3 linked regions of the Sus scrofa genome follow. The protein of the gene in region 3 purifies or fractionates together with the protein of the main gene of each other region. This does not show direct contact. Links are inferred from orthologs where the notes say so. Each region holds a gene or a part of one and is shown on either strand. Other genes may lie near its edges. The genes, in order: MCM8, MCM3 and MCMBP.

Evidence for each region.
Region 1: the proteins of MCMBP (region 3) and MCM8 purify together in Homo sapiens (co-immunoprecipitation; 3 studies listed by BioGRID and IntAct, with this or other methods). This does not show direct contact. The link is inferred for Sus scrofa from reciprocal best matches to the Homo sapiens genes MCMBP and MCM8.
Region 2: the proteins of MCMBP (region 3) and MCM3 purify together in Homo sapiens (affinity purification with mass spectrometry; 10 studies listed by BioGRID and IntAct, counting the BioPlex papers as one, with this or other methods). This does not show direct contact. The link is inferred for Sus scrofa from reciprocal best matches to the Homo sapiens genes MCMBP and MCM3.

What each region holds. Positions count from the first base shown.
Region 1 is NC_010459.5:14,796,798-14,800,448, reverse strand, and holds part of MCM8 (DNA helicase MCM8), read right to left. Parts: intron 1,800-3,651; coding exon 1,717-1,799; intron 1,311-1,716; coding exon 1,161-1,310; intron 1-1,160. UniProt on the Homo sapiens protein: Component of the MCM8-MCM9 complex, a complex involved in the repair of double-stranded DNA breaks (DBSs) and DNA interstrand cross-links (ICLs) by homologous recombination (HR).
Region 2 is NC_010449.5:46,101,646-46,105,396, forward strand, and holds the start of MCM3 (DNA replication licensing factor MCM3), read right to left. Parts: upstream 2,781-3,751; 5' UTR 2,654-2,780; coding exon 2,576-2,653; intron 1,340-2,575; coding exon 1,227-1,339; intron 545-1,226; coding exon 336-544; intron 1-335. UniProt on the Homo sapiens protein: Acts as a component of the MCM2-7 complex (MCM complex) which is the replicative helicase essential for 'once per cell cycle' DNA replication initiation and elongation in eukaryotic cells.
Region 3 is NC_010456.5:129,683,147-129,686,797, forward strand, and holds part of MCMBP (mini-chromosome maintenance complex-binding protein), read right to left. Parts: intron 3,124-3,651; coding exon 3,006-3,123; intron 1-3,005. UniProt on the Homo sapiens protein: Associated component of the MCM complex that acts as a regulator of DNA replication.

The sequences.
Region 1 (3,651 bases), on a different chromosome or scaffold from region 3:
CGTGAGCTTTGAAAAGGGGTCATAAGAAAGCTTTCACAGAGTGACAAGACATTTGGATGTGTGAGGCAAGGGGCATTCTATGCCCAATGGATAGCATGTCTAAGAGGTGCAGGATCCAGAGAATCCTGGAGGAAGTGCAGTTTAGCTGGATGGTAGTGAATGAAGGAGAGTGAGGAGAAGGTGAACTAGGTTATGGAAGGCTTTCAGTGACACACAAAGGGCTTGGATATCATTTGGCAGGAAAGAGTCACCAGTTTCCAAGGACAAATCATGTTTTACCATGTATGGCAACAATTAAGGAAAGATAATGAAGACTTAAGATAGAAACTGTAAGGATGGAAAAGTGGTGGATTTAAGAGACATTTAAGCAACAGAAGTGAAAGGATATGGTAACTTAGATAATGAGAACTAATGAGCAAGGGGAGTCTGAAGAAAACAGCCAAGGTTCCCAGTCTTGGGTCACTAGCAGTGTGCACATCTTGGTAATAAACTGTTGCTCACCTCCTCTGCTCTATATCCAGTCTTCAGTACCCCCTTTAAGACTCATCATACAACCGACCATGTCTGTAGACTTCCTCTGCACTTTCCCCATTCCTCCCCAAAAGTTGAAGGTTTTCATCTCTGAATGCAGCTGGCACTTCTCTGTGCCTGTCCTAAGATTTACCACATTTTACCTTGAATCATTTATCTAGTTGCCTGCCTAAAAAATGCTTTCACATATGTTGTGTCATCTAACTCTGAGAAAAACTCAGGCAGGCAAAGCAAATACTGTTAAATTTTTGATCTACACATGGGGACACTTAGGGAGATTAAGTGACTTGCCCTATGCTGCAAAGCCTAAATCTGGGATTAAACTTTTTGTTCCAAGTTCATAACTAGTAACACCATCAAGCCTTATCTTTCCTGTGAGATTACATGCCTCCTTGAAAACGAGGCTTAATTTCTATACAATCTTTGATAAGATTAAACTAATTTAAATAAATGAGAAGTAAATGTTATATTTGGGTAAGCTGCTATACAGAGAGTTTTAGGACAGCATTGCAACCTTTCAGTTTTAGCCAAGTTCTGTTGATAAAAACTAAGAAATCTTTTAGAGATGGGACTGTTACATAAAATCTTCCTTTAAAATTCTGTCAAGTCTCACAAAAATAAATATTTACCTGATGTATTGCCAGACCCATGCAAGCCAGGGTTTTCTCAGGTGTATCCCTTAATTCATTTGCTACATTCGGTATCAATTTAGCTACTTCATCATCCTCTGTCAATTCTTTAAAATCCACCAAAATACTTCCCTTTCTTTCTATTTCATCCTATAAAATATTAAGGTATAAAAACAATGATTGCTTTTTCAGAGTCAATTATCATGCCTGAGCATTCAATTATAAACTTTGAGAAAGCATATATTATTACTAAGGCGATAAGTACTACAAGTTTTGTACTACGCACAGTTTTAATATTAAAATACATCAACTCATTTATGGCTTTAACAACCCTTTGTAGTAGGTACTAGTGATACCATTATCCTCTAATGATAGATGAGAAAATTGAGGCACAAAGTAAGTAACTTGCCAAAGTCCACACTGCTAACGTGGCAAGCTGGGAGCTGGACCAAAGCAGCCCAGTGTCTGTCATCACAATTATTAGCACCTCGAATATACCGCTCAATAAGATGACATATAAAGGTGGACTAATAGCTTTGTGGTACAGGAATCTTACCTTATCATATAAATCAATACGCTTTGTGAAAAAATTTTCAAATGTTTGAATCTTCTCAATAAAAGGAGAGCTGTCACTGTAAACTAATTCAAAAATGGCATCAGCATTAATAATCATTACATATATTTTTCATGAGACAAAATACCACACACACAGTAAATGACTTATCCAATTGCTTTGCATTCTGATTACATTTAGATAAGAAATGGTATACAATGTATACACAAGATTCTAAGGCATGCTTAGGTCTGTACAATCTGAAATGAAGACAGGAAGTATCTCTTCCTAAAAGCCCCGATATCTGAAAATCTTTACACTGAAGCTGTGAACCTAATAGTACTTATTAGTTCACACAGCTTTCATAATGAAGACAAAGCTTGACACATTAAACTATTTTCTTTAACGGTGCTAAAGACAATGCCTTTGCAAAGAAAATTCTACTAGTCCAAAGAGCCACTTGTCAAATCCCTTCCTGAGATCAGGGGCAGCAGACCACCTCTTGACTCTGGTCCCAAAATTGTACAGTTATCTTCCGCAATGTAAAGTTCCATAACATTTTCTTTTCTTTTTTTTTTTTTTTTTTTTTTTCTGTCTTTTGTCTTTTTGTTGTTGTTGCTATTTCTTGGGCCGCTCCCGCGGCATATGGAGGTTCCCAGGCTAGGGGTTGAATCGGAGCTGTAGCCACCGGCCTACGCCAGAGCCACAGCAACGCGGGATCCGAGCCGCGTCTGCAACCTACACCACAGCTCACGGCAACGCCGGATCGTTAACCCACTGAGCAAGGGCAGGGACCGAACCCGCAACCTCATGGTTCCTAGTTGGATTCGTTAACCACTGCGCCACGATGGGAACTCCCATAACATTTTCAAACTGGTCTCTCACACAGCAACGGTACAATGAATCAGTCTGGAAATACAACTGGTCAAAGGTGCTTTGTGAGTTCCATCTTTAGGACTAGTCCAAAGACTACTTCTAATGTTCTGAGCTAAATGTCAGGGAAATAGTGCAGGTGTTGGTGGCTAAACCAACATCCTAAAGCAACAAAAGACACATCAACCATGAAACATATCTAAGTAATAGGAAAAAACAGACTCTCAATATAGAAAACATTTGTAAGCACTTTATTCATTCGCAAAATGAATACTGAGTTCCTGGTATGGGGCAAGATCCTTGGGCTTAAGCAATGCACAATCTATTAGGGAAAAAGCACAGATATATATAAACATAAATGCCACCTCTCAAAAGACATATAATAAGGACATGATACTATCAGAGAATAGAAAAGATGATTCTTCAAACCCACAGAGACAGATGTATAATTTTAACTGGTATTCTGGATTATAAAAAGGAGATCTTTAACTGTGTTTCTACACAAACTGTTGATGGTTGTCTCGGTTCTAGGTCAACCCTTCTATTTTCTCCTCAGTGATTCTCTGATCAAGATCTGAACACTGCATTTCCCAGAATCCTGTTAGGTTCTATCAATTGGAGGCACTTTAGAGATAGGAAAGAAGGGAGGGAGGAAGCTAATTAGTTTATTTTTGTTTTCAATCCTTTTTAGCATCTCTCCAGCTACGGAGGATAGGTCCAGTTCTAGCCTGCAACTCCAGGCACCAACCATGCCAACCTCCTACCAGAATTACCAGCAATACTCAGCTTTAACTTGCCTCAGTGGTCTGAGCATAGCTCTGAAGGATACCCTTCAGAGAGCCAAGCACAGCTTTGTAGGGTGCCTCTCAAAAGTCAAAGCCACAACTAAGAATTCAAACCTCCTTTGAATTTCTAGGTTCTGGTAACCTTAGAAATACTTACCTTTTGTTCCATCAGTCATAAGGGTGGTTGCTGCTTTTCAAAGTTAAAGTTATTGTCTGAGGCCTTACCTCAATGTTCCCTTTTTGATCTTTTCGTCTTCTATCTGTACATCCAATTCTCTGT
Region 2 (3,751 bases), on a different chromosome or scaffold from region 3:
TTTGTTAACCACTGCGCCATGACAGGAACTCCGATGTACACTTTTAAGCACAGTTCATCCAGAGGGAGAAGTAGCAAAAGTTCAGGGTCAGAATGAGGAGACTGCCAAGAGCGAAGAATCCTCTGCTCTCAGCAGACTTCCTCCTTCTGCTGGCACAGGTCCTCCATCACTGTGCACGGCTGGGCTCCTCCAAGCTTCACCCTGAAATTTCAGTGCTTCACCCTTCTGAAGCCATAAGCTCCCCAACCCTACTGCACCTTTCCTGCCTTCCAGCCTGCCCCACCCCACGTCTATCCCACCTCCATTCAATTAGCCCTCCACTCCAGCCCACTCACATTTAGTGACAATGCCCTCGACACACACGACACAGCTAAGGAAGCAGGAGGTGAGAGTCCGGGGAGAGACGTGCTTGGAGCCAAAGCTGCCCTCCAAACCTATGTAGAACTCCTCATACTGCTTGGCATATGTAGCATCAATGGAGGCCACAAAATCCTTTAAGGCCCGCTGGAAGGCAACCAGCTCCTCAAAAGCATTGTTCAGGAGGCTGCGGATAGGCAAGAAGAAGAATCATTAGGCAGAGAGGGCAGAACTTGACAAACTCAACCTACTGGAGTTCCCGTCATGGCTCAGCAGTGAGCGAACCTGACTAGCATCCTTGAGGATGCGGGTTTGATCCCTGGCCTTGCTCAGTGGGTTAAGGATCTGGTGTTGCTGTGAACTGTGGTGTAGCTCACAGACTTGGCTCGGATCCAGTGTTGCTGTGGCGTAGGACAGCGGCTACAGCTCCAATTGGATCCCTAGCCTGGGAACCTCCATAGGTCACAGATGCGGCACTTAAAAAAAAAAAAAACTCAACCTACAAAACAGCAGTAGACATTTTTAGATAATCAAAGCTTAGGAGTGAAAATCTGGCTTCTACTTTCTCCTGCCATCCTACAAGACCCAGTAAAATACACCAGAACTGAGGGCCAACCTTAATTCAACTTATCAAAGACAGAGACATGATATATAATTAAACACGGTAGGAAGGGCTCTTGAGAGGAAAATGCCTACCACCTACTTTGGAAAGAAGTAAAAAACATAAGAGCAGGTGAGGTACTAAGGGCTTCTAGGTCAGAAACATTTCATCCAGATCCTCTGCTGGGAAGTCTACTCCAATCCAATGAAGAGAAGGGAGCCATTCTGACTCAGGGCCAGGATGTGGCGGTGGACACCTAGCCACTCACCGGTTAGCCCTCTTCTCATTCTTCCTGCGAAGGTCATTCACATTGACAATCAAGCGGTACTGGTTGTCACTGATCAGCTCCCGAACTTTGCTCTGATAAATTCCCTGATCTTCCTGCAAAAGAACCACCACATGTCACAACGGCCACAAATTCAAATATATGATGCTTTTAAACAGAGGCAGCTCTCACAGCAAGATAAATATATCAATCTCTGCAGCAGAGGTGAATCCCAGTTCCTCCCACATTTTCACTCACTAGTCTCACATTCCAAAGACACCTAAGAGACCAGTGTATGAATTATGACTTCCTCAAGACCCATGCTGTAATTCCTATTATCACCAATAGCTCTTCTGTGTGCAGTCATTTCACAACCTTTACTGGGGAATTAAGGACAAGTTAAGGGGAAGGAATAAAGTAGGTGTCTGGGATTAACAGATACATACTAATATATCTAAAATAAACAAGGACCTACTGTATAGCCCAGGAACCATACTCAATCTTATAATAATGTCTAATGAAGAGGAATCTGAGAAAGAATATATATATATGTGTATATATACACACACACACTCATATATAAAACAGAATCACTTTGCTATACACCTGAAACACAACACTAAGTCAACTAGCCTTCAATGTAAAAAATATTTAAAAACTAAAAAAAAAATTTAAAAAGAACAAGTAAAATCCTTGTTAAAATGCAAATTAAACAGACTTTTAATACTCAAAGTGACTTTTCGTTGCAGAATTTTGTCTGGAATTACTTTATTTCCCCAATCATCTGCATAATATAGAGTTCCCATATCCGGACATTCGCAAACAGAGCACTATCAACCCTTCAAGACGCTTTAAACAACATTCTGTGGCTGTCAATCTTAAACTGCATACAAACCCCCCTTATTTGCACGCCAACACTATTTCTCTCCGTCCCAAAAGGTAGGGAAAAAGGAACGCGGCCAAATAAGGGAGTCGTTTCCTCCGGCAGGAAAGTCAGCCACTAAAACCTGGGGACCCTATAAGTCTGCAGGTCACTACCATCACCGTTCTCCAGCGGTCCTTCCCCGACCCTCCCTCCAAATTAAGAGAGCAGGGAGTGAAAAAAGTCAGCGTGGCCTTTGCACTTGGTTTGCGCTTGGAGGAAACCTGCGCCTTTCGCGAGACCCGGCCATCATTTGTACTCTGCAAAGCCACAGGATTGCTCTCAACCACAGACTCCGCTGCCAGAAAGGCTACAAGATCAGGGCGGAAGGTCCCTAACCTCCGTCCCGCCGCCGCAGCCTGGAGCTCCGCGGTCTCCCTCGGCCTCAGTGCGGCCCCCGGGGCTCCTGGACCACCCAGCCCTCCCTTACCTCGTCGTCCAGGAAATCCAGGTAGTCTCTCTGCGCCTCTCGCAGCTCCACATCTTCCAACACCACGGTCCCGGCCATGCTCGCTGCTAAGGAACTCCTGCCAGCGGAGCCGCGCGAAAGAGCCTAGCGTAGCCCCGCCCCGGCGCGAAAACCTCTCTACTTTTCCCGCCAACAAAAGTAACCCCAAGGAAGGGGTGGGGTATTTGGGAGGATATATACACTCTGATTGGCTGGTTATTCCTACGCGAGAACAGCGAGTATCCAATCGAGGACGGCTTCTTCTCTAGGTTTTCTCTGCGGCTCCTCCGAGTGGCGGGAACTGTGCTAGCCGGGCCCCTCCTTACTCCACCTTTACTGACAGGAAAGCTGACCAATGAGATGAGAGGAGGCTCGCAGAGCCTGCTCCTTGGGCAGCCGGAGAGCCAGCGAGACCTGAAGCGCTGCCTTCTGGGAGTCGTAGTCGTCCCTCTTTTTCCTCAATGTTTTACCGGGTGTTTTCTGGTTGCGGTTCCCCGACCTGCCACTGAGTGAAACTCGGCCCGGCGATTGGACTGAAACTAGACTAGACGTCAGAGAATGTGAGTTTAGCATGCAGGGAGAAAAAAACACAAAGGCAAACCGTTTTTAAAATATATCCAATATATATCAGTTGTGCTATAGATAGGTTTTTCAAACGCCCTCTAGTGGCATTCGGGGAAAAAGTGAATTTCGAGAATCTAGGGTGGAGAATAGAATCACAGCATCTTTGGGAGAGGTTCTTTAGTTCAGCAACTCATTTGCTATCTGAATACCGTGGCCTGAAATACCCCACAAAAATATTAGGCCGCGGAAGAGAGGAACGTGAAAGAAAAATTTTCGCGACGTTTCCCCACCCCCACCCCAGATGACCTCGTGTTTTGTAAGAAATTATGGACGTAATTACTACACCATCCTACTCGCAAATGGGTAAGTTAAAGTCTTTCTCGCCTTATGAGAAGTTCACAAAATCTTTTTTAAAAACTTAGCTTATGGAAAGGTAATTAAATAGAAGGAGAAACAAAAGGTGTTTCACGCCACTCTTAAGTTTCAGTCATTAATTAAAACAGCAAATCTGAAATTATAAACAATTAAAAGACCGATTGCATATCGCAGGAGGTTTTTTTGGTTTGTTTTCTTTTTAGTCTTTTGCAGTTTGTT
Region 3 (3,651 bases):
GAAATCAAAGATGACAAATATACCATGCTCTTAGACTGGAAGAATCAATATTGTCAAAATGACTACACTACCCAAGGCATCTACAGATTCAATGCAATCCCTATCAAATTACCAGTGGCATTTTTCACAGAAATAGAACAAAAAATTTTTTAATTTGTATGGAAACACGAAAGACCCCCAAAAGCCAAAGCAACTCTGAGAAAGAAAAATGAAGCTGGAGGAATCAGGCACCCTGACTTCAGACTATACTACAAAGCTAGCCATCAAAACATTATGGTACCAGCACAGAAAACAAAAATATAGGTCAGTGGACAAGACAGAAAGCCCAGAAATAAATCCATGCAGCTATGGACAATAAATTTATGACAAAGGAGGCAGGAATATACAATGGAGAAAAGACAGTCTCTTCAATAAGTGGTGCTGGGGAAACTGGACAGCTACATGCAAAAGAATGAAATGAGAATACTCCCTAACACCATACACAGACATAAACTCAAAATGGATTAAAGACCAAAATATAAGACCAAATGCTACATAAAACTTTTACAGGATAACATAGGCTGAATACTGACATAAACTGCACAGTATCTTCTCAGATCCACCTCCTAGACTAATGAAAAGAAAGATCTAAATAAACAAATGGGACCTAATTAAACGTAAAAGTTTTGCACACCAAAGGAAACCCTAAATAAAATGAGAAGAGGAGTTCCCGCCGTGGCGCAGTGGTTAACGAATCCGACTAGGAACCATGAGGTTGCGGGTTCGGTCCCTGCCCTTGCTCAGTGGGTTAACGATCCCGCGTTGCCGTGAGCTGTGGTGTAGGTTGCAGACGCGGCTCGGATCCTGCGTTGCTGTGGCTCTGGTGTAGGCCGGTGGCTACAGCTCCGATTCGACCCCTAGCCTGGGAATCTCCATATGCCGCGGGAGCGGCCCAAGAAATAGCAACAACAACAACAACAACAAAAGACAAAAAAACAAAACAAAAAAAAAAAACCAACAAAAAAAAAACGAGAAGACACACACAGTATGGGAGAAAATATTTCCAAATGAATAGACTGACAAGCGATTCATCTCCAAAACATACAAACACCTCCTGCAACTCAATATCCAAAAAAAATAAAAAATAAAAAAATAAGCAGAAGATCTAAATAGACATCTCTCCAAAGTCAACATACAGATGGCCAAAAAACACATGAAAAGATGCTCAATGTCACTATTAGCGAAATGCAAATCAAAGCTACTAAGAGATATCGTCTTACACCAGCCAGAATGGCCATCATCAAAAAGTCTACAAACAATAAATACTGGAGAGGGTGGGGAGAAGAGAACCCTCTTACACTGTTGGTAAGAATGTAAATTGGTATAACCACTATGGAAAACAGTATGGAGGTTCCTCAAAAAACTAAAAATAGAACTACCATATGATCCAGCAATCCCACTCCTGAGCATCTATCCAGAGAAAACCATAATTTGAAAGGATACATGCACCCCAATGTTCACTGCAGTGCTATTTACAATAACCAAGACATGGAAGCAACACAAATGTCCATCCACAGAGGAATGGATACATATATCCAACAGAGTATTACTCAGCCAGATATACAACAGAGTATTACTCAGCCATAAAAAAGAATAAAATAATGCAATTTGCACCAACATGGATGGACCTAGAAATTATCATACTAAGTGAGGTTAGACAGTGAAAGACAAACATCTCATGATATCACTTACGTGGAATCTAGAAAGAGGAAACAAATGAACTTATTTGCAGAACAGAAACAGACTCACAGACCTTGAAAAAACTATGGTTACCAAAGGGGACAGGAAGGGGAGAAGGGGTAGACTGGAGGTTTGAGACTGACATATGCACACTGAAGTATATGGAATGACTGGCCAACGCGGAAGTGCTATATAGCACAGAGAACTCTACCCAGTATTCTACGATAATCTATGTGGAAAAAGAATCTGAAAGAGAATGGATGTGTGTATATGTATAACCGAATCACTTTGTTGTATGGCAGAAATTATCACAACCTTGTATATCAACTACCAACTACTTCAATAAAGCTTTAAAAAAGAAAAAAAAAAAAAAAAAAAAAAAAGGAGTTCCCGTCGTGGCGCAGTGCTTAACGAATCCAACTAGAAACCATGAGGTTGCAGGTTCAATTCCTGGCCTTGCTCAGTGGGTTGAGGATCCTGCATTGCCGTGAGCTGTGGTGTAGGTTGCAGACGCGGCTCGGATCCCGCGTTGCTGTGGCTCTGGTGTAGGCCGGTGGCTACAGCTCTGATTCGACTCCTAGCCTGGGAACCTCCATATGCCGCGGGAGTGGCCCTAGAAAAGGCAAAAAGACAAAAAATAAAATAAAAAAAAAAAAAAAAAGTGAGTCAGAGTGTGAGAAATGCTGGTCTATTTGGTCCACTACTGTTTCTTCAGGTCCTAGAAGACACTTAATAAACACTAGTTAAATGAATATCTATTTCAACCTCTTACATTTCTCAAGTAGGAAGTGATCAGCATTATCAGTCACATGACTAATCAGAAGCTATTCTCTCATTCCCAAGATCTTAGCACCATACACACACAAAAATGCATTCCAGATGTCCTTGCAAATAAAAGTAACTTGACTTTCCAACCAGAATCAAAATTAGGGAAGTAGAGATAAAGTTATTACCCTGAACTAAAAGAATTGTGCTCCTGTAATTTAGAGTTTCTTTAGATTTAAGATTTTAAAGCACACAGAGGATACCAAATTGTACTAATGAACTGACATTACAGCTAGTGCAATGTTAAGAGAGTTTACTACAGTTGTGTTGTTACTTAGAGAAATTTGTGCTAAGGCAATAAAAGTGAAATGTTTAGGGATGAGCAAAAAACACAGTACTAGGCAGGTTTGTTTTCCCTTAATGAGATCTATTAAAATCTCAAAGCTTAATATTTGGGTTGAACGAAAGACGGATTTTTAAAGGGCACTTAGGTTTATAATACAAATTTATATTGATCTTACTGCTGGAACCAGATGTTGAATAATTCGATACAAGTGTTCTGTGAAGGTACTATTCCGCGGACAACCACTCAAGTTAACCGTAAATTTTCCTAGGGGAAGAACATCTCTTCTTGTATACCTAGAAAAAAAAAAAAAGATGTCAACCAATAAGACACTTGGGTGATTTTCTGATTTCCATCAAAGAGCAAACAAAGCAGAATTAGTTTAATGTTGTTTGAAAATAAAGCAGATTTCGTTGATCAGCTGTTCTTTAGTTTTGTTTTGGTTTTGGCAATATCCACGGCAGAGTTCCTAACTCTGTGCCACAGCAGTGACCCGAGCCACAGCAATGACAACACCGGATCCTTAACCCACTGAGCCATCAAGGAATTCTAGATCAATTGTTTTTTTAATCAGAAACAGCAAAAAATATTATAGCCAGCAGGTCCCATCGCAGCTCAGGGGTTAACGAACCCAACTAGCATCCATGAGGACGAAGGTTCCATCCCTGGCCTTGCTCAGTGGGTTAAGGATCCAGCGTTGCTGTGAGCTGTGATGTAGGTTGCGAACACGGCTCAAATCCCACAATGCTGTGGCTGTGGCGTAGGCTGGCGGCTACAGCTCCGATTGGACCCCTAGCCTGAGAACCTCCATATGCCGCAGGTGT